2 linked regions of the Coturnix japonica genome follow. The protein of the gene in region 1 interacts with the protein of each later gene in a pairwise test. Links are inferred from orthologs where the notes say so. Each region holds a gene or a part of one and is shown on either strand. Other genes may lie near its edges. The genes, in order: GTPBP3 and PARP11.

Region 1 (10,397 bases):
TGATAACGGGGAGGGGGTGGGAGCACACGCACCTCTCGTAGGTGGCGGTGACGAAGAAGGCGTAGGCGCGGGTGTGCTTGTGGTGCCGCACCTGCACGATGAGCTCGGGGATGCCGAGGCGGATGTGGTTCAGCAGCCAAAGCAGTGTATGGTCATCTGTGCTGTCTATTGGGGTGGGAGGGCAATGATATGTCCACAGCCCCGTGCCCACATCCCCCACCTCTGACCCATGGCTCTGAGGAGCTCTGTGTTCCCAGCCCCCTGCCCCCCCTTGTACCTGGGAAGGTCATGAGCACGTCGCAGTTCTCGGTGGGCACCGTCTTCATCCAGGCTTTGTGGGACATGATGTAACGCCCGGCTTGGAGCAGTCGCTTCCCAAAAAGCTTGTCTGTAGGGAACCAAATGGCTCCGTCACCCCCCATCACCCACCCCATTAACCCCATTAACCCCATAACCCCACAGCAATGGGTCGGCTGCCAGCACAGCCGCAATGGGAACAGCGATTGCAATGGCCGTAGCTCAGGTTTCTCCTCTGGGTGCCTGAAAAAGCCCCGACAGCTGCAGGAGGTGACACATGGCCAGGCATGGTGTAGCACAGCCCCCTCCCAGCCCCACTGCCCCCCCCCCCAGCTCACCTCTGCCTGCAGCCCCACAGCGGTGCTGGGATCCAATGCGGCCGCAGCGCCGGGAGATGGGAAACGGCAGCAAAAATGGGGGGGGAGTGAAAAAGCAGCCTGTCTCCATGGAAACATGGGGAGGCCCCGTGTGGTGGTGATACGTAGGGATGGGGATGGTCCCCAGGGTCCCATTGTCCCCCCCCTGGATGGTACCCAGCACCCGTCCTGCTCTGGGGTGGCTGTGATGGAGGGGTTGCTGTCCCCCTGCTCACTGTCCCCATTGGGGTGCATGGGGACCCCTCACATCCCAGCCTGGCTGTGGGGCAGGATGAGGCCCCATAGAGCCAGTGGGTCCCAATGCCCTCTGTCAGCTCCAGGTCACCTCTGTGCCTCAGTTTCCCCTTTTGCAACTGGGCAGGGACGTCACTGCTTGCCCCAGGGCAGGGAAGGTTGTGGGGCACAGGAAATCCTACACACACCGGGCAGGAAATGCCAGACATCCATAAGGACAAACATTGGGATGTGCACTAAGACCGGCATCAGGACCTGGGACACACACCAGGCCCCGTCCCAGCCCAATTCCATGCCCCCCATCCCAGCTGAGACCCAGCAAACTCATCTCCTATGTCACTGCTGTGAGCTGTGGGTGCAGGACCAGGACGGCACCGGGCTGGCAGCCAGAAGGGGTGGAGGGGCAGATCCTATGTAGGGGGGGGGCACCACTCACCCACCCCACACACAGGGACAGCCCTGGGGGTGGTGCAGGGCCTTGCACAAGTGTGGCATTGTCAGCTCTAACACAGCTGCAGAGCTGGGATGGCACCGGGGAAGAGGCTTCAGCTGGGGATGGGGTGACTCCCTGGGACCCCCCCCCAACTCTACCTCATTCACACTGCCATACAATGGGACCCCCAGGCTCAGTGGGTCCCCTGTGCTGGGGCATGGATGGGGATGATTCAGTGCTGCTGTATTATTGATGGCCACAAAGGGACGTGTGGGGAGGGGGCACTGGGGGGGGGGCACCACACACACATGTGCCATGCCATGCCATGTGTGTGACCCCACGGTGCCACACGTGTGACTCCATGGCACAACCTCAATGGCACCACACTGCCCCACAGAGCCGTGGGGTCACCAAGAGAGACATGGCGGGGGGGGGGGGCTGCAGAGGGGTCCCAGAATGGGCTTTGTCCACTTGAAGGTGACTAGGAGGTGGGGGGGGGATGTTTCTGCCCCCTCCTCCAGCCGTGGGGCCATTCCTGCTCCATGTCCCCACGGACCCCCCCAGGTCCTCCCGGTGCCACCCTGCATTGTGGGGACATCACAGCCGCCCAGCCACCGCTCACCTTGGGGTAAGGTCACCGCAGCCGCAGGGCTCCGGGTACCCAACCGCTGCCACCCGCATCGGGAGCACCGGGCGGTACCGCGGGGGGGGGCACAAAGTGGGTCACCCTCCCACCACGAATCCCCTCGTCCCAACGCGGTCGCATCCCCGGTGGTGTCACCCCGCTCGGTGTCACCCGCCGCGGGGACCCGCTGACAAAGCCTTCATCCCTCAGCCCCCGCCCCCACCCGGCCCTGGGGAGGTCGGGGTGGGGGGGGAGGGAAGGGGAGGTAAAAAGGGACATGGCTGGAGGGGGGGGGGGCAAAAATGGCCCTTCCCTGGGGTGGGGGGGGCTACAATGGTAAGGAGGGGGCACAGCTTGCCCGAGGGCCGGGGGGGTACCGCTGCTGTTCTTCCCGCCACAACGGGCGCTTTATGGGAGGGGCAAACGGGGGGGGGGGGGGGTCACAGCAGAGTCCTGAACGGACCCCCGAACCGGGTGTAGGGACGCGGTATGCCCAGCAATGTGCCGGGGCCCAGCACGGACCCCCCCGGGCATGAGAGGGGAGGACGCATCAAGTACCAACCCACCCCCCACGGACCGCAAGCGGGCTGCCCGGAGCGGCCGCGCCGCATTGGAACCGCAAAGGATCCGGCCCCCACGTCCCCCGCCCCAAATGCTCCCCCAAACCCACAATACCGGTTCGTACGTCCCTGCCCCCCTCCTCCTCCATCCCCGCTGCCAACCTACCCAAGACCGCCCCCCGGGGCGCCGGCTTCTCGTCCGTTCGTCCCCAGGGCGGGGACCCCCCTTCCGGGCCGTATTCTCCGTACGTGGCGGTGCCCGCGGGCCCGGTTCAGGGCATGATGAGGGGGCTTCCGGGCTGCGGCGGAGGCCTTCGGTCGGAGCGGCCGCGCAATGGGGTACCGAGTCGGTCCGTGGGTCGGAGCCACCGCGAACCGAGCCCGAAACCGGCCGCCCTGCGCCCCGGACGGGAGGAGGAGGAGGAGGGACAAAGGCGGCGGAGCGCCGCGCTTCGGGCCCCGGCAGCGTTGGTTGGATTGGCAAGCGCCAAGAATGTGGGGCCGCGACGGCTGCATCCCCCCCCCCCCTTCAGAGCCTGGCACCCCCACCCTTAAGTTGCCTGCAAAACCCCCCCCAATTCCTTCCCCATCCCACCCGCGCCAACCCTATCACCACCGCTGTGCCCCACCAGCATCCTCCCAGTCCCCTCCTGTTACAAATCCCCCCCCCCTGCTGTACATCTGCCACCCCAAATTCCACATCAGAACCCCCGTTCCCCAATCACCCGACATCCCCCCCCCTGCTCCCCCAATCCCATGTTCTCCCCCCACACCGCAGGCACACAGAGACGCCGCAGCCTCCGGGCTTCAAAGCTTGCTAAACATATTTACGGTTTGTGATACTTGGCACCGCCGCGCGCGGAGGGTAAAACAACCGAGCGGGGCCCACGCCACCTTGCCCCCCCGCTGACATTTGGGATCCCTCCCACCACCCCCCCACCCCCAACAGCCCCCACACTCAATGACTCAATGAGGGAGGGGGGGGGGGGCAATGGAACACCCCAGACCCCCCCGCAAAGTGCCCATAAAGAGGATAGGATGGGGGGGTTGGCACCACGTGCATGCCCACTGCTCGACCCCCGTGCCGCAAATGTGATTATCGGGGGCGTGGGGATCCCATACAGGGTCGTGTCCCCCCCCGGCTCTGTGTCTATTTTGGCACTGTCTGTCAATGCTGAGGGTTGGTGCCACCCGGCCATCCCATTTAGGGACCCACTGAACCACCCCGCCCCAATAGCCAGAGCCACCCCAGCGGGGTTTATACCCCCATTAAGGGCCCTGCCCCAGGTGGATCATGGGGACCCCAATGGGGGGGTGGGCAAATTGGTGTACACAATGGGGCTGATGGGGGCGGGGGGGGGCCAATGATGGGGCCACTAGAATCCCATCCGTGCCCCCAGTCCCTCCCGCGATCCCCCCATCATTCCCTGCCATCTACCCTCCCTTCCCTCTCTCCTCCATTCCCCTCCCAAAGATTCCCTCCTCCATCCTCCCACTATCCCCCGCCCTTCCCCTCCCCCCTCCTTTGATCTCCGCTCCATGGTCCCCATCTCATCCTACCAGTCCCCCCCCCCCCTCCCTCCTACTTAAAATTGCCTGGCAAGCGTGAGGCGGCGACAGCGGGAAGCGCCCGTAAAACGCCTCAGGCTGCCTTGACGGCCAAATTCCCTCATCTTCGAGAAACCAATCAAGAAATAAGACTTTGGAGGGGACATAAACCCCGCCTCTTTTCAGCAGACAACCAATCGGTGGCTTGGAGTGGGCGAGGCGTTGTTGGTGTGGGCGTGGTTTGATTGGAGTGGGCGTGGCTTTTTTAAGGCTGGCGGTGGGCGGGGGCTTTTTGGGGTGCAGCATGGTCGCTGCGGAGGGCGCATGTAGTGCGGTGGGAAACGGAGGTGGGGGCAACCCTTAATGGGGGGCACCTTAATGCGGGGGGATGGGGGACCTTATAAATAGGGGGGGTGGAACCTTTAGGAGAGGGGTTGGGTTCACACATTAATGGGGGGGTAGGGCGCCATTAAAAGGGGCTGGCGACCATTAAAAGGGGGGTGGTCCCCAACCTAATGTGGCGGGGCGTGGGCGAATCCTTAACAAGGGGGGTGTGGCAAACTTAAAAAAGAGGAGGGTGGCGCCCACCATTAAATAAGCGTATGGGTGGGACCTTAATCGGGGGCGGTGGGCACCTAAGAAAGAGGCGGGTGGGGCAACCTTAATTCGGGGGGCTTGGGCACCTTAATGGGAGGGTGGGACCTTTGGTGGGGGTGTGCCTTGAGGGGCGGTTGCTCCTATGAGGCGGTGCAGGGGGTCCCAATGGGGGGGGGTGCAGCCCTAATGAGTGGGTGTTGTAAGGGGAGGGGGTGCATTGAGTGTAAGTTGGAAGGATTGGGGGGGGCACATACCATTGCTCATGGGTAAGTGAGGATGGGGGGGCCCTGGTTGTTGGTTGAATGGGGTTGGGGGGGGGGCACAAGCTTATGGGATGGGGGAGGGTCTTTTTGGGGGGGGGGGTCGTTGCACTTCCATACGCCTTTATGGGATGTTGTGTCCCCCCCCCCCCTCTAACTAGGTGTACACTGTGCTCGGTGGCCCCAGGGGACACCATCTTTGCCGTCTCCTCCGGACACGGGCGCTGTGGGGTGGCCGTTATCCGTACCAGCGGTCCCGGTAGTGGGGGGGCTTTACTCAGCCTTACCGGGAGCACCGAGTTGCCCCCCCCCCGCCTTATGACCCTGAGGCGCATCCGGGACCCCCACACCGCAGAGCTGCTGGACCGTGGGCTCGTTGTATGGTTCCCAGGTGGGAGATGGGGGGAGAAGATGGAATATGGGGGGTGGGTCCCCTATGAGGGTCTCAGTGGGGGGCACCGTGGAGGGCCCTGGGTTTGCAGTGGGGACTTATTGGACCCTGGAAGGGGCTGTTGGGTGCATGGGGGGGGGGTGACTGGGTGCTAATCAGGTGGATCTGGGGGTCTGATGTGGGTTTTGGGTGCCCAAGGGGGTGGATATCGGTGCCCATTGGGGGTCTGATGGGGGGTCAAAGGGTTTGGTGTAAGTTCTGGGTGCCAGGTGGGGGTCTGGTCATCACATGCAGCCCCTCTGTGCTGCCCTGGCTGCTCCAGCATCAAACACTGCCCCATTGTGCTGACCTTGCAGTGCAGCTGTGGGCATCGGGGGTCTCTCTCCAGCCCCCCATGCCCCCATGGGATTGAAGGCTCTCCCCATGCTCTACAGGACCCCAAAGCTTCACCGGGGAGGACTGTGCTGAGCTTCACGTGCACGGTGGGCCTGCAGTGCTGAGCGGAGTGCTGCGGGCACTGGGTGAGCCCTTCCCACCCCCATCCCCCTTGTTTTCCCCCCACCCTTTATCCCCCCCATCCCTCTCAATGCTGACAGCTGCTCTCAGGGCGCCTCTCTGGGCTCCGTCCTGCTGAGCCGGGTGAGTTCACCCGCCGTGCTTTCCACCGGGGGAAGCTGGACCTGACGGCAGCCGAAGGGCTGCGGGATCTCATCCATGCTGAGACTGAGGCACAGAGGCAACAGGCCCTGAGGCAGATGGAGGGTGAGCTGGGCAGGCTGTACCAGCGGTGGGGTGAGACCCTCACCCAGGTAGGGGCTTTTGGGGTCATCGGGTGGGGGGCTTGGGGATGCACAAGCTGTCTATGCTGACCCACATTCCACACCCCAGGCTCTTGCTCATATTGAAGCATACATTGATTTCAGTGAAGATGACAATGTAGAGGAAGAGGTGTTGTCCCAAGGTAAGGTAAGGAGGGGTGGGGGGATGCCCTGACCCTGCTGTGTCCTCACCCCCACCTCTGTATCCCTGCAGTGGATGAAGCTGTGAGGGCACTGGAGCAGGAGATCGCTGCCCACCTGCAGGATGGGCGCCGGGGGGAGCTGCTGCGCTCGGGGGTCCACGCTGTCATCGCCGGCCCCCCCAACGTGGGCAAGAGCAGCCTGCTCAACATGCTGTGTGAGTGGGGCACGGGGGGCTCCATGCGGCCGCCCCCCACCTGAGGCTGAGCCACATCCCCGATGCTATAAGGGTTTGTGTCCCTGGTGTCGTCCCCCTGAGCCCTGTGTCCCCCCCTGTCCCCAGGCCAGCGTCCAGCTGCCATCGTGTCCCCCATAGCGGGGACCACACGGGATGTGGTGGAGGTGTCCCTGAATGTCAGTGGTTACCCTGTGGTGCTGAGCGACACAGCGGGGCTGCGTGATGCCACCGACCCCATTGAACAGGAGGGAGTGAGCCGTGCTCGGGACCGGTGAGCTGGGGGGGGGGGCAGGATGTGGTACTGAGGGGGGGGCTGAGCAGGTGGTGATACAGCAGGTTGTGTCCCCACAGCCTTCAACATGCAGACTTAGTGCTGGCTGTGTTGGATGCCACCACGGTACCCACTGATCCAGCTGAGCTGGGGGCTGCTCTGGGCTCCCTGGTGCCCCCCAGCACCCCCTGCATCCTGGTTCTCAACAAGGCCGACCTGCTGGGGGGGCACAAGGGGGCTCTATGCGATGCCTGCACCCACGGACCCCCACTGCCCCCCACCACCCTGCTGTCCTGCAAGACGGGCGAAGGCACCGACAGCCTCCTACAGCTGCTGGGGCAGCAGCTGGCACAGCTGTGAGTGCCACGGGTATGGGGGGGGGGGCACAGGATGGCACCAGTCCTATCCATGCACAGATGGCTTTTGGTGGGGGGGTGGATGCTGCAGGGTGTTGTGCCTTCCTCCTTTCCCCTTCCAGGTGTGGAGACCCCCTGGCTGGCTCACCCACCCTGACGCAGAGCAGGCACAGCACCCAGCTGCATGGCTGCATGGCTGCACTGGTGCTGTACAGGCAGCAGCAGGACGTGGGGATGGCAGCCGAGCAGCTGCGCCTGGCACGGCGGCACCTGGGGCGCATCACGGGGCACGTGGGGGCTGAGGACATCCTTGATGTCATCTTCAGGGACTTCTGCATTGGGAAGTGATTGTTGGGGGGTCTGTTGGGGTATTAAACCGTGGTGCCTTGGGCTGGTCTGTATCTTTGCCCTGTGCCCATAGCACTAAGCCTGGTGTGGTGCTCTCTATGCTGGGGGGGGGGGAGCGTATCCTGAGCCCCAGCCGTGGGAAAAGCAGCTGGGAAGGGCTGTGCTTCCTGGCTGGGAGGATGCACTCAGAGCTGGAGTGTTGGTGATGGAAAATCCTCTGCTTCCCCCGTGGGCATCCCCTCCCCATTGCACGACATGGGGCCCATCGTGGTACCCTAAAGGTGGTGGTCCCAGCCCTAATGAGGTGGGTGCCCTCTTAGGGTGGGGGTCCCTGTGGCCCTTGTTGTTCTCACACCCCCCAGACGGGGCTCCCAGCAGTGCCACCATGCGTCAGGGCAGCCCTGCTACGTGGCTTTGCTTGTCTTATGAGTGATGGGGGGAGAGGGGGGGGTACCCAAAGGGACCCAGAGGTGCTGGTGGGGGGACAGGGACATTGCAATGTCCTGCAGTGGGCTGAGTGTCACTGCGTGGTGTTGGTGGCCTGCAGGTGGAGCGGGACCGGGGCTGCGGCGTGTCGGGTGTCAGGAAAAGCTCTTTAAACAGGAAAGAGAGGAACGCGAGGCCATAAATCACTGCACGGCCATAAATCACTGCACGGCCATAAATCACTGCGCCTCGGCCCCTGCGTGCCAAAGCTGGGGGGGGGCGGCGGGGACAGGGGGGACTGCAGGGCTTTATTGGGGACAGGGGGGGCTCTGCTTTGGCTGAGAGCTTCGCTCTCACTTCCCAACTGCACAGTGGGGAAAGCTCCGGGTTTAGCAGCAGGATGGGGGGGAAATGGCAGCTGCCCCAGGGGGAACCTTGACCTGACCCCTTCCCCACCCCCCCCCTCTTGGTGCTGGGGGAGTCCCTTACATCCTTGGCTTCTGCTCGGCCCCTTCTGGGAACAGCCTCCCCCTCTTCCTGATCTGTTTCCTCAGCCTCGCTACCTTTGCAGTGGGACGGGATGTTCCTGCCCCCCCCCCTCCCCAAACACTCTCTATGGCCTTTTTCCCCCATCCCAGCCCCCCCCCCCCCCAAGTCCAGCAGTGAAGCACACACGCAATGAGTTGTGTCAGTGCTCAGCACGGCTTGTATTCACAGCAGTTCCAGGTACACACACGTGGGCACCGAGCAGGGAGGAAGGAATGGATGGGCATCATGGGCTGGGGTTTGGTTGGGGAGGGGGGGAGTGGAAGGGGAAGGGGAGGAAGGGGGGGATGGGGCTCATTCCCTTCTCTCTCCTGGTTGGGGTTTTCCATCCGTGCCGCTCCGGGCTCATCCTGCTGCCCTCCAGCCCCTCACCACGGCTCTCCTCATGCTACCCACTGCAGGGAGAGCACAGTCAGCCCCATCCCCTCCCCATCCATCCATCTCCAGTGCCCACCTCCTCACCTGGGGTTCCTCATCATGGCCGTGTACTGCTCCAGCACGTTCTGCACCACTTTCTGGATCTCCTCAGTGTTGATTTTATCTGGCAGGATGAGAGCAAATGGGGTTCAAATGGGGGGGTTGAACTCAGTTGGGGCAGTGCCCGTAGGGGATGAACTCACCCTGATTCTGCAACAGATCCGCATAGGAGCTGGGGAAGGGGCCCGACCTTACGCTGCCCACAGCACTGCCTGGCACCCATGGGGCTGTGTAGTAGGTGCCCACCTGCAGAGGGGAGAGTTGGGTGTGTATGTGTGTGTCTGTGTTGGTTTCCCCTGGCCCTCGCCCTGACTGGGCATAGGGGACAGGGGTGGCACAATGTGGTGCTGTGAGCCCCATAGGGTTGTGCTAAAGGCTGTGGGCAAGAGCGCATCCCAGAGGGACAGGGTTAAAAAAGGTGCATGCAAAGAAGTGCCCGTGCAAAAGGAAATGTGCCAAAGTACCTCTGCAAAACCACACATTAAACACACCCAGTCCCTACCTTGGAGCTCATGCAGAGGCTGAGCTGCTGGCTGAAGTAGTTGGCTTGTGCAGCAACTTTGCTCTTCTCATCCAGCTCCTTGCTCAGCTTCTCCTTGTCCGCCAGCAGCTTCCTCCTCTCCTCCTGGCTGCCTTGCAGCTGCTGCTGCACCTCCTGCAGCCTCTTGCCCAGCTCCTGCTTCTCGTGGGAGCAGTTGAGGTGACACTGCTGCAAAGTCAAGTCGCAGACGCTCTTCCCCACGTAGTTGCTCTCGTGCTGCTGCTGCCTGGAGAAGAGCTCCTCGATGCGATGCATCAGCAGCCTCAGCTGCTCCTCCACTTGGCTGCAGCCGAAGTTCTTGTTGCTCATGCTCATGGTGCGCAGGTTGTACAGCACGTTGGAGCTCAGCGTGTCGCATTCCCTCCTCAGGTGATCCAGCTCTCCCTTGGTGGTGACGCAGTGAGCACCCGCCACCTTCAGATCCATCTGGCAACGTTCTTTCTCCTGCTTGGCTTTATCCAGGGCTGTTTCAGCCGTGCTGCAGTTCTGCCCCAGCTCCTTCCTCTGCTGCGTCGCCATGTCCAGCTGCTGCTGCAGCTGCTGCTTCTCGTCTGCATGGGGATGTGGAGAGTTGGGGTGCACCATGGGACCCCCACCCGTCACCCTGACCCTGCCCAGCCCGGGGGTACGTTGTGCATGGGATCCCTGAGGGTTATTGGGGACCCCCGTGCACAGACTCTGGGTGTGTAGGGGGGTCTGTGGGCCCTCAGGGGGTTGGGAAGGGGACCCTTACTGGCGCACTTGATGTTGATGAGGTTGATGCCCATGTAGCACTTCTCCAAGTGAGTCTTTTGGAAGATGATGGTCCTGTTCATGTCTTCTAGCTGGGGGGGAAAGCAGTGGGTTGGGGGAGGGGGGCAGGAAGGGAATGAGGTCAGTGTGGCCTCACGGCAGCACCAGGAGCACAGCCAAA
Region 2 (8,868 bases), on another chromosome or scaffold:
TCTTAGGTTTAATTGGAATTTCCTGTATTTTCATTTGTGTCCATTGCTGCTTGTCGTTTCACTAGATGCCACCAAGAATTTGATTCTATATTCCTTGCTCTGCCCCCACTATCAGCTGCTAGGTTTTGACAAACCTTCTATTCTTGAGGCTAAATAATTTCAGATTTCTCACTCTTTTTACATGTCAGATGCTCTAATCCCTTAATCATATGCACGGTCCTTATGCCACTGGAAGCAATTACTTGAGCTCAGCAGTTCAGGTAGTTTCTCTCATTAGGAAGAAAATTGTTCCACTGGAGAATTTAGTCAGACTTGATATCTCTTTGGAAGTCAACTGCCAATTACCTTCATATTACTGAAAATAATTTCCAGAAGGATTTGTTCCATCACTTCTCCCAGAATCAATGCCAGGCAGACTAGTCTGTTGTTCCTTGGATCCTCTTTCTTGCTTTTCTTGAGATTTGCTCTTTTCTAGTCCTTAGGAAGCTGTGATCATTATGACATTCCAAGGAAAACTGAGTACTGTTGCAACTGCATCATCTGTCTCATCTGTATTTGCATGATGGCAAGTCCCATGGATGAATATATGTCCATTCTGTTCAGATGTTCCCTGATGAAGGCCTTCAGAGATACCTTTTGGGTCTGGAAGTAGAAAAGATATTCCTGAGAACCATGAGGATATACAGTGCAGAGACATGGAAATTAATTTTGCTTCTTCTTATGGGTGGCTGTGCTCTTCAGAGTTCCTAGACAACCTGATCACACAGTTTGCAAAGTAGGCTTTTCTGCAATCACTTCAGTCTCACTAACTTCATTCCCCAAGCAGAGAAGAAACTACCCACAGTTTCTTCTGCTGCACAGTGTAATTAGACACAAGATTTTTTTTCTTCTGAGAAGTCTTTGCCCAAAACTGGGAGCAGAGATAAGAGAGCCTACACAAAGAAGCCATTCCCTACATGAACATCATTCACTAGGGTTGAGCTGAACAGAAATGACCTCTCCTGACATTGATCAAGGTTGGTAGTAATCCCTGCATCCTTTTCTTAGGGTATTGCAGGAAAGGAGTGCACCAAGCTGCTGGAAAGCCTCTTTTTCTCTATGTGTAGAATTAACCTTTCTATTGAAATCTCAGATTGAAAGAGTTCAGTGCAGACATGGTATGTACACTAGAGCACAGAAAAACTACACTATAAACACAGGCAAAGAAGTGTGAAGAGCAAAGTTTAGTCATTAAAACAGTGTCCAGGGAGCAGTCCCATTCAGGCACTTGGATCACACTTGAGAAACTACACTGGTGTTGGCAGCCTTCTGCTCTTGACATTATCTGATTCTCTGACTTCATCTCATTGTATTTCAGCTGTTTTTCTCAGACCTTGATGTCATTATGATATGCTATGTTTAATGGTACGTGATTCTCAACCTAGAAAAGGTCTGTCTGTATACCTAGAAAAGGTTTATATTTTACATGCAAAGCATTGTCAGCACCTTTTCAAAAAAAGAAAAAGAAGAAAAAAGAAAAAAAAAAAAAAAGAAAAAATAAGTGTATTTTGCAACAGGTAAAGTGATAATCCTCTCTTATTTCTATACTGTTTGTAAAAGCACAGAAAGGCTACATCCTCACAGTCATGTTTTGTTTTTTTTTTAAAAAGATGTCCCTACTTCTGGAAAATTGCTTCATTCTTGAAACCTCACATTCATGGCAGTGAAATACTCTCAGCAATTCATCAGATGCTGTTCAAACTCAGAAAAGATAACATTTTTTTAATCTCAGAGGTGAGGTCAGCCAGAATCTTGACATTTATCCTGCCTGAAATTCCTTTAGAATATAAGAAACTTGTCATTAGGAAAAATTATTTTCAGAACGAACAGTCAGGCACTGGAATGGGCTGCCCACAGAGGTGGTGGAGTCACTGTCACTGCAGGTGTCTAAGAAACATGTAGAACTGGTATTGAGGGATATGGATTAGTGGGAAATATTGATGGTAGGTGGACAGTTGGACTAAATGATCTCAGAGGTCCTTTCCAACCTTAATGATTCTATGATTTTATGATTTTAAATCCACCCTTTTTCTAATTTGGCTTTTCTTTGTACCAGTTTTGACTGAGATAGAGTTAATATTTATCAAAGTTTGTATGATGCTGTGCTTTAGATCTGTGATCAGAAAAGTGGTCATAATACGTTAATGTTTCAGGTGCCTCTTAACAGAGCTTACACAGTACCAAGGCCTTTTCTGTTTCTTTCACAATCCATCCAGCTGGGGGTGCAAAAGAAGATATGAGTGGAAACAGCCAGTGTAGGTGATCTAAACTGACAAGGAAGATTTACATACTGTAAAACATCATGTTAAAGCAGCAGTTAAAACTAGATGAAAAGATAAGAAATGGGACTGCAGGGAGATGTAAGATGATAACGTTATTTTCCCAAGAAACTGATATGCATGGCATGCTCTGCTGTACTGGAAACAGCTGAACATCTGCCTGCTAGTGAAAACTAGTAAATGAATTCCTCATCTTGCTTTGCTTGTGAACACAGCTTTTGCTTTACCCGTCAAACTGTCTTTCATACATTTTAGACATTTTATCTCAACCTGCAAGTTCTCACGCTTCTACCCTTCCTTTTCTCTTCCATACTGCAGAGAACTGAGCAAGAAGCTGTGTGGTTCTTTACTGACTGCTGAGGTTAATCCACAACAGTTGCCCAATGAAAATCCTTCACAGCAGGACATACTTCACAGGACTTGCACAATTTTACTACAATTGATATAGGTTGGATTTTTTTAGCAATAGCAATTAGCACATTAGTTTAAGAACCAATTTATTAGTTTAGCAAAAGGAATCCACAAGCTACAGTTGTAAAACTGTCCATTTCAGCTTTACTGGGTGAAGAGTCTTGTTTTTCCTCAATAATTTTACACTGGGGACATAATAGAATACTTTTATCTTCTGCCTCAATGATTTTGCCTCACAAGAAGTACTGGAGTCACAATAGAATACTTTTATCTTTTGCCTCAAAATGTGCAAGGACATTTTCCTTGGTTTACACTGTTTTTTAAAAAAGTGGCTTACTATGGCCTAATAAGCATTAGAAATCTTCCAAAGCAGGGAAAAGGAGATGCAAGTGAGCCAAAGGCTTCATTGATTGAGCTGATGGTGAAAAGGGGGGAAGAAGCAGGTAGGCACTCAACTACTCTAGATACCAGTGAGCATGCCCTATTAGCATGTATTTATGAGGTTTTTAAAAAGAACAAATGTGTACACCGATGTACTGCATATGCATGTATTAGCTGTTCAAATGTAGAACCTGAACTCTAAGAGGGTGCAATTGCTTTTCAGGTTGCCAGGTATGTTATCGCATCACGAGGAATAAAGGAAATTTGCTTTCTAACACCACATTGGAGTTGGAGAGTTTTCTTCCCAGATTTTGGATTACACAATGGCCTATCTGCTAGCTTCCAGCACAGTTTCCTAAGACTGCAACTTGCATCTATGGGTTGGACAGTGACAGCTCTTCCACTCAGCAGCTCTCATCATAGAGGTTTCCCTTGAAGGACTCGGGTAAGGCATGTGTATGACTATGTCCTCTTACCAGAAGCCCTTCCTAGAGCTGCTGCCACTTTTCGATCTTGATTACAGGTAAAGCTGCCCAGAGTGTTCATTTTTCATACTCTGAAGATCAACTTGATGGATAACATGGTAGGCTGCAGCTTTTATTCATATTTTCATTAGATAATCTTCTTAGAGCTGCCTTACCTGCTGGTGACACAGATGGCTACGTGCAAAGAATATATATAAAGGCTCTTAAGGAAAATTATGGGCTGTGAAAAATCTTTTGCAGAGAGGAAGACCCTTCTTATCCACAAATACAGCCAATAATTAAAAGAACACATCAGAGGGTGGTTAAAAGACTGCCGAAGAACCTACAACTGACAAAATGTCACACAGCTGCTCCAGGGAGACCGGCCCACACAGCCAGCACGCCAAGCCACAGCTCCACAGAGCGCCACTGAGCGCTGTCTCTTCGTGGCACGATACAAAATCAAACACAAAACGCTCCCTTACATCCTACTTCAACCCCGCCCACTCCGCTAGAAATTTGCATACCAGGCCTCGCCTCTCTATGTGACGATCCGATGTAGCGTTGCCAGTAACAACTGTTGCCCCTCCCTTTTCTTCTGCTATCGGTAACGGAAGCGTCCGGGGTGTAAGCAGTGACGTGACTTGCACTGCTACGCTTGGCCTGCTTCCTTCTCCCCCGTCTCCTCCCCCAACACGTACACTCCTCCCCACTCTCCGGCCAACATGTGGGGAGCGAACTCGGGGTGGGCGGCAGATGCGGTGAGTGCGCGCGGGAGGGGGACGGGGGTAATGGCCGCTCCGTTCCATATGCTCCTCACCCGCCTCCTCGCTACGTGCTGCCGTTTCCTGGCCGGCCCCGCCTCACTCCATCATACCCGCCGCAGGCGTGGGGAGCGACAGCGTTGCAACATCGGGGAAGAGGGGATGGTGGTATAGGCCGCCATCTTCTCCATTTTCGGAGGAGCATGAGAGACAGATCGGGAGGTAGTGGTGCCGTGTGTGGATTAACGCTTTCCCCCGTACAACGTTGCCCCTCTGTACTGTGGGAAATGTGATATAGATCTGGAGGTTATCACGTATTGTTCCCTGTGCTTGTTCTAATGCAGTTCTTCCTTCTCACTTCCACTTCCCAGCCCTATACTCTTTTTTAAGATCACATACCTGATCACATACCATGAGGCCATACATAAGAGGCCACCGGCCATGGTGCATGTTTTCACATCAGACCCTTGGATAATGTTTTTAGGTAAAGCAGTCTTCAACAGTAATATGCTAAATGGACGCTGCAAGAAAGCAGCCCATCTGGATGTGCCTTAAAACATGCTTATTCAAGTTTAAAAGAGCTAATAGGTATATGAGGTTAGGAGTAATAATAAAGCCACACTAGTCACAGCACAGCACACAAATTAGCTCTATTTAGAAGGAGAATTTTGTTGTCAAAATTAGTAGTGTTGCCTTTAAGATGTTTATGGGACCATTTTTGAAAGTGATATTAATGGAAATCGACATGTTTAGAAATAGCATTGCTAATAAAATTCTCACTGCTGCATCTTTGATAGTTGACAACCTGTCATCCAGAAAGTCCGTTGATACATTTCTGTTCACTATGCATGTGTTCATAGGTTTTGGACAAAAAGCTACATTTGCTTTATAATTGGTGTGTATATAGTGGTTAAATTCCTCGGTAAGCTGAGTAATTTTCTTCAAGCGTTTTACATTTGCATCACTTTTGAGAACATCTCTTTTGTTGTGTTTATGTATTTGAGTCATTCTTCCTTAGAAGTATCTGGAACCTACTTGTTTACCCTGTACTTCCCGTCTAAAGGTAGTGCCTATGGTCTGAATTTTTAAAACTGTGGGAATACTTCTGTCTTTAATCAATAGTTTATCCTGGAAGCTGTGTTCTTTCCATATGCATAAATCTGTTTTGATGGGGCACAGGTGAATATGTCTTCACTGTTCATAACTTGTTTGAAAGCCAGTACTGATGTGAATTATCAGATTCAGGGCCCTGAACTAATGTTGGCATGTTGCAGCAATCTGACAATTTTAGTAGAAACATAAGGAAACTTAAGATTACCAAAAAAGCCTGGATTGTATTCCTCTTAGCTGTAAAAATGTGTGTGGACTACAGCATATCAGCCTGTAGAATAGAACAGGGCCAAATACTCATGTAATCAGAAGAATCAAGTTGAAGGTGGAAGTTGATCATCAGAAGATGTTTGGCCAATTGTGCTTTAAAACTAAGTGAATGTAGGCTCTATGGCTTTGTATTGTTGTGAAGAATGGAACAGAGAGTGGTTTTCTTACTCTTATGGCGCTTATGGTGATAAACAGTCATTCCACATTTTAGATGCAGACTTTAGCTGCTTCCATGAAGAGGTTTCTAGGATTGTTTGTAGAACAAACACAGAGAGCAAATAAGGCAGAGGGTGTTGCTAGCATTTTTCTGCTCTGAACTCCTGCCCCAGTGGCACTGGCCAGTTGGTGCCTATGTCTAGTTTCTAGTGTATGCATTCTTCAGGTTGCTATTTACCTTTTTCTGGGTTGAAGTGTTCATGAAGGATCTAAAGCATTCAGGATATTAACTGTACTTGATTTGGATTATTTATACTAGAACACATTGTTCTACTACTTGAAAGAAAAAGTTAAGTTGAGGAAACTGATGGGAAGAGTGCAGTCATGGTTAAGCAGTTTGTCTGGATGAATTTCTAGTACTTTCTGGGAGGAGGTCATACTTCCTCTGAAAGTTCACCCAGTGCTTCATATTTTGATGTTTGGTGGGGGGGGGGGGGGGGTGTTAAAGGTTAGAGCTGGTATGTTAAGCTGTATATGTAATTAGAGTCAAATACTTTCAGGGTTTTCAGGATTTTATTGTTGAATGAGGGAAGGGAACTGGCTAAGATAATTCAAATGGTATACTGGCATAGCTGTTGGGAGGCATGAACTTGTTTAGCCACTTCTTAAACTTGCATAAACTTGCAGTATCCACAGCATGATGTAGAAAGCAATATCACAGTTTGCCATCTATTATGAAGTTTCTCTTTAGATTGTTGTGAACTTAACACATGCAAACACTGATGAGTGTCTTTTCACATAGAGAGAAAATGTCATCAGTTATTCCCTACTCAATTTTGCTATACTTTTATAGACCTGTGTTGTAACTTTTCAAATGTTATTTTTTCCCCCTAAATATGGTGGTAATAGTGTTTGAAAGCCTGTTTTTTTTCTGTGTGATCCATTGTACCAGAACAGAGTGCTAAGTAATTTTGTTGTATCATTTTTAAGTTAATGCAGTGTTGAGAAGCAGTGCACTGTGGACTTTTATTTTTATTTATAACATCTCCTAATGTCTGGTACGATCAGTTTATGCATGGTGAGTATCTATCTAGTAGATGCTTTTGTCAAGCTATAATGCAACTCCAGCACCTTATTCCTATGTAGTGCATTTGACTGTGTTTCGTTATAAGAATAGCTTGTTCGTAGGTTTATCAGTATAAGAAACTTTCATTGATATGTTATAGCATATAGATTCCTCCTGGCTGGGCATGCTTATGGAAATATGAGAAAGAGTTAGCTTTAAAAATGTTTAACTAGCATGAAGGATAATAGCGAATAAGTAGAGTACAGAGAAATTTCCTCTGTAAAACAGAAAGTAACCTAACCATGTTTTTTTATTTAAGAGTTGCAATTCACTTCTTTATTATTATTCTTTTCTTTTTTTTTTTTTCCTTTAATGAATTTCTCAAATAATGTACTTTTGCAAAGAGTATCACAAAAAACTTGATATGCGTGCAAATATTTCAGGAAATGTTTCAAAGAACACCTGAAGAACTCTTTCCAAAGATGGAAAGTTCAGTTGAAGAGATGGATACCTCAGATACTCAGTGGGGCTGGTTTTATTTGGCTGAGTGTGGTAAATGGCATATGTTTCAGGTAACTACAAACAAAGTTACATTACTTTCGACCTCTGTATGTCAAACAACCTATTGATGAAAATGTCTAAATGTACTTTTTCATTTATTTTGAAGACTGATTCAAATAGTCATTGCTCAGTTAGCAGTGAAGATATTGAAAGGAGCTTCAGAACAAACCCATATGGTTCTGTTTCTTTTACTACTGCAAAATTTAACTACACACTAGACTTTTCAGGTATGTATATTCATAGGATTAACTTAAATAACAGAGATGTCAGGTACACCAGTTCATTTGCTTTGTGTAGTGTTCTCAATTCTTGTCAACTCTTATAAATAACTCCTAATAGTGAGGCCAGTATTCTGAGTTTTTTATCTCAGATGTTGGTTTATTAATTGTTGAAATAGGAATTCCTTTCAAGCACCTTTTGATGTAATAATGTTGTTTGGGGAAAAAAAAAGCAACAACAACAACAAAAAAACCCAAAAAAACCCAAACCAAACCAAAAAAAAAAACCATATGCTATAGATGAATTCCAGAAGCATTTATCGTAACTCTTGTTTTATGCTCAGATATGAAGCAAACCAACCTAACTACCCTTAAACAACGTCCAATAAAGCGAGCTCCCTTTTCTATCAGCGCTTTCAGGTAAGGAAATAAAATGAAGCCTGATTTTGATCTTAAACCTGATTTTGATTTTAAAATGGAACAAACATATGTTTTATATGGACTGTCTATATTTATTTAGTTTCTTTGTCAAATGATTTGAAAATATGAGAAATCTAGTCAAGTAATGAAGGAATAAATTTTAGAGGGAGAATAACAAAAGGATTTATTTATTTATTGTTTGTTTGTTTGTTTATTGAGAAAATATTGAGGGATATGATTTAGCTGGGAAGTATTTGTGATGGTTGAACTGGATGATCTTTTCCAACCTTGATAATTCTGTGATTCTGTGAAAATTTGGGTCTTGTAGTGGGAGAGGCAGGGCATACTGAATATTGGTATCCTTTGGCAAGCTGCTTAAATTTGTGCCTGACTTCAGCTGTTGAATTCCCTTGCAGTAAATAACCTGTTCAATCAGAATTGCCGATTAGAGAATTGGAGGAACAGCAGCAGAAAGAAATGGAGTAGTTTGTTCTAGTATAACAGTGACTTCCTAAATTACTTAGAAGGAACACTAATGATGTAATGCTCTGGCAGTCAATAAAAACTAGTATACTTAGTGGTAGTACTACAGATAAAATTGACCATCTCTAATGTGGGTTACTTTTTCCAAATATTTCTTAAACAGAATTTCAGTTCTGAATTATAATTTCTTTCTTTCTTTCTTTCCTTCTTTCTTTCTTTCTTTCTTTCTTTCTTTCTTTCTTTCTT

Evidence for each region.
Region 2: the proteins of GTPBP3 (region 1) and PARP11 interact in binary tests that used the Homo sapiens proteins (3 or more experiments, as listed by UniProt). The two-hybrid records come from large-scale screens. The link is inferred for Coturnix japonica from reciprocal best matches to the Homo sapiens genes GTPBP3 and PARP11.

What each region holds. Positions count from the first base shown.
Region 1 is NC_029543.1:2,482,713-2,493,109, forward strand, and holds GTPBP3 (tRNA modification GTPase GTPBP3, mitochondrial), read left to right. Parts: upstream 1-5,029; 5' UTR 5,030-5,057; coding exon 5,058-5,322; intron 5,323-5,756; coding exon 5,757-5,843; intron 5,844-5,928; coding exon 5,929-6,131; intron 6,132-6,210; coding exon 6,211-6,283; intron 6,284-6,354; coding exon 6,355-6,498; intron 6,499-6,624; coding exon 6,625-6,790; intron 6,791-6,870; coding exon 6,871-7,146; coding exon of another isoform or gene 7,147-7,150; exon of another isoform or gene 7,151-7,159; intron 7,160-7,268; coding exon 7,269-7,494; 3' UTR 7,495-7,537; downstream 7,538-10,397. Other genes in the region: ANO8 (anoctamin-8), read right to left, coding at 33-165, 278-388, 636-744; PLVAP (plasmalemma vesicle-associated protein), read right to left, coding at 8,855-8,861, 8,929-9,007, 9,087-9,189, 9,446-10,035, 10,218-10,308. UniProt on the Homo sapiens protein: GTPase component of the GTPBP3-MTO1 complex that catalyzes the 5-taurinomethyluridine (taum(5)U) modification at the 34th wobble position (U34) of mitochondrial tRNAs (mt-tRNAs), which plays a role in mt-tRNA decoding and mitochondrial translation.
Region 2 is NC_029516.1:68,157,474-68,166,341, reverse strand, and holds the start of PARP11 (protein mono-ADP-ribosyltransferase PARP11), read left to right. Parts: upstream 1-4,170; 5' UTR 4,171-4,299; coding exon 4,300-4,335; intron 4,336-4,373; exon of another isoform or gene 4,374-4,563; intron 4,564-6,864; exon of another isoform or gene 6,865-6,925; coding exon of another isoform or gene 6,926-6,952; intron 6,953-7,383; coding exon 7,384-7,512; intron 7,513-7,607; coding exon 7,608-7,728; intron 7,729-8,063; coding exon 8,064-8,139; intron 8,140-8,868. UniProt on the Homo sapiens protein: Mono-ADP-ribosyltransferase that mediates mono-ADP-ribosylation of target proteins. Plays a role in nuclear envelope stability and nuclear remodeling during spermiogenesis. Inhibits the type I interferon activated signaling pathway.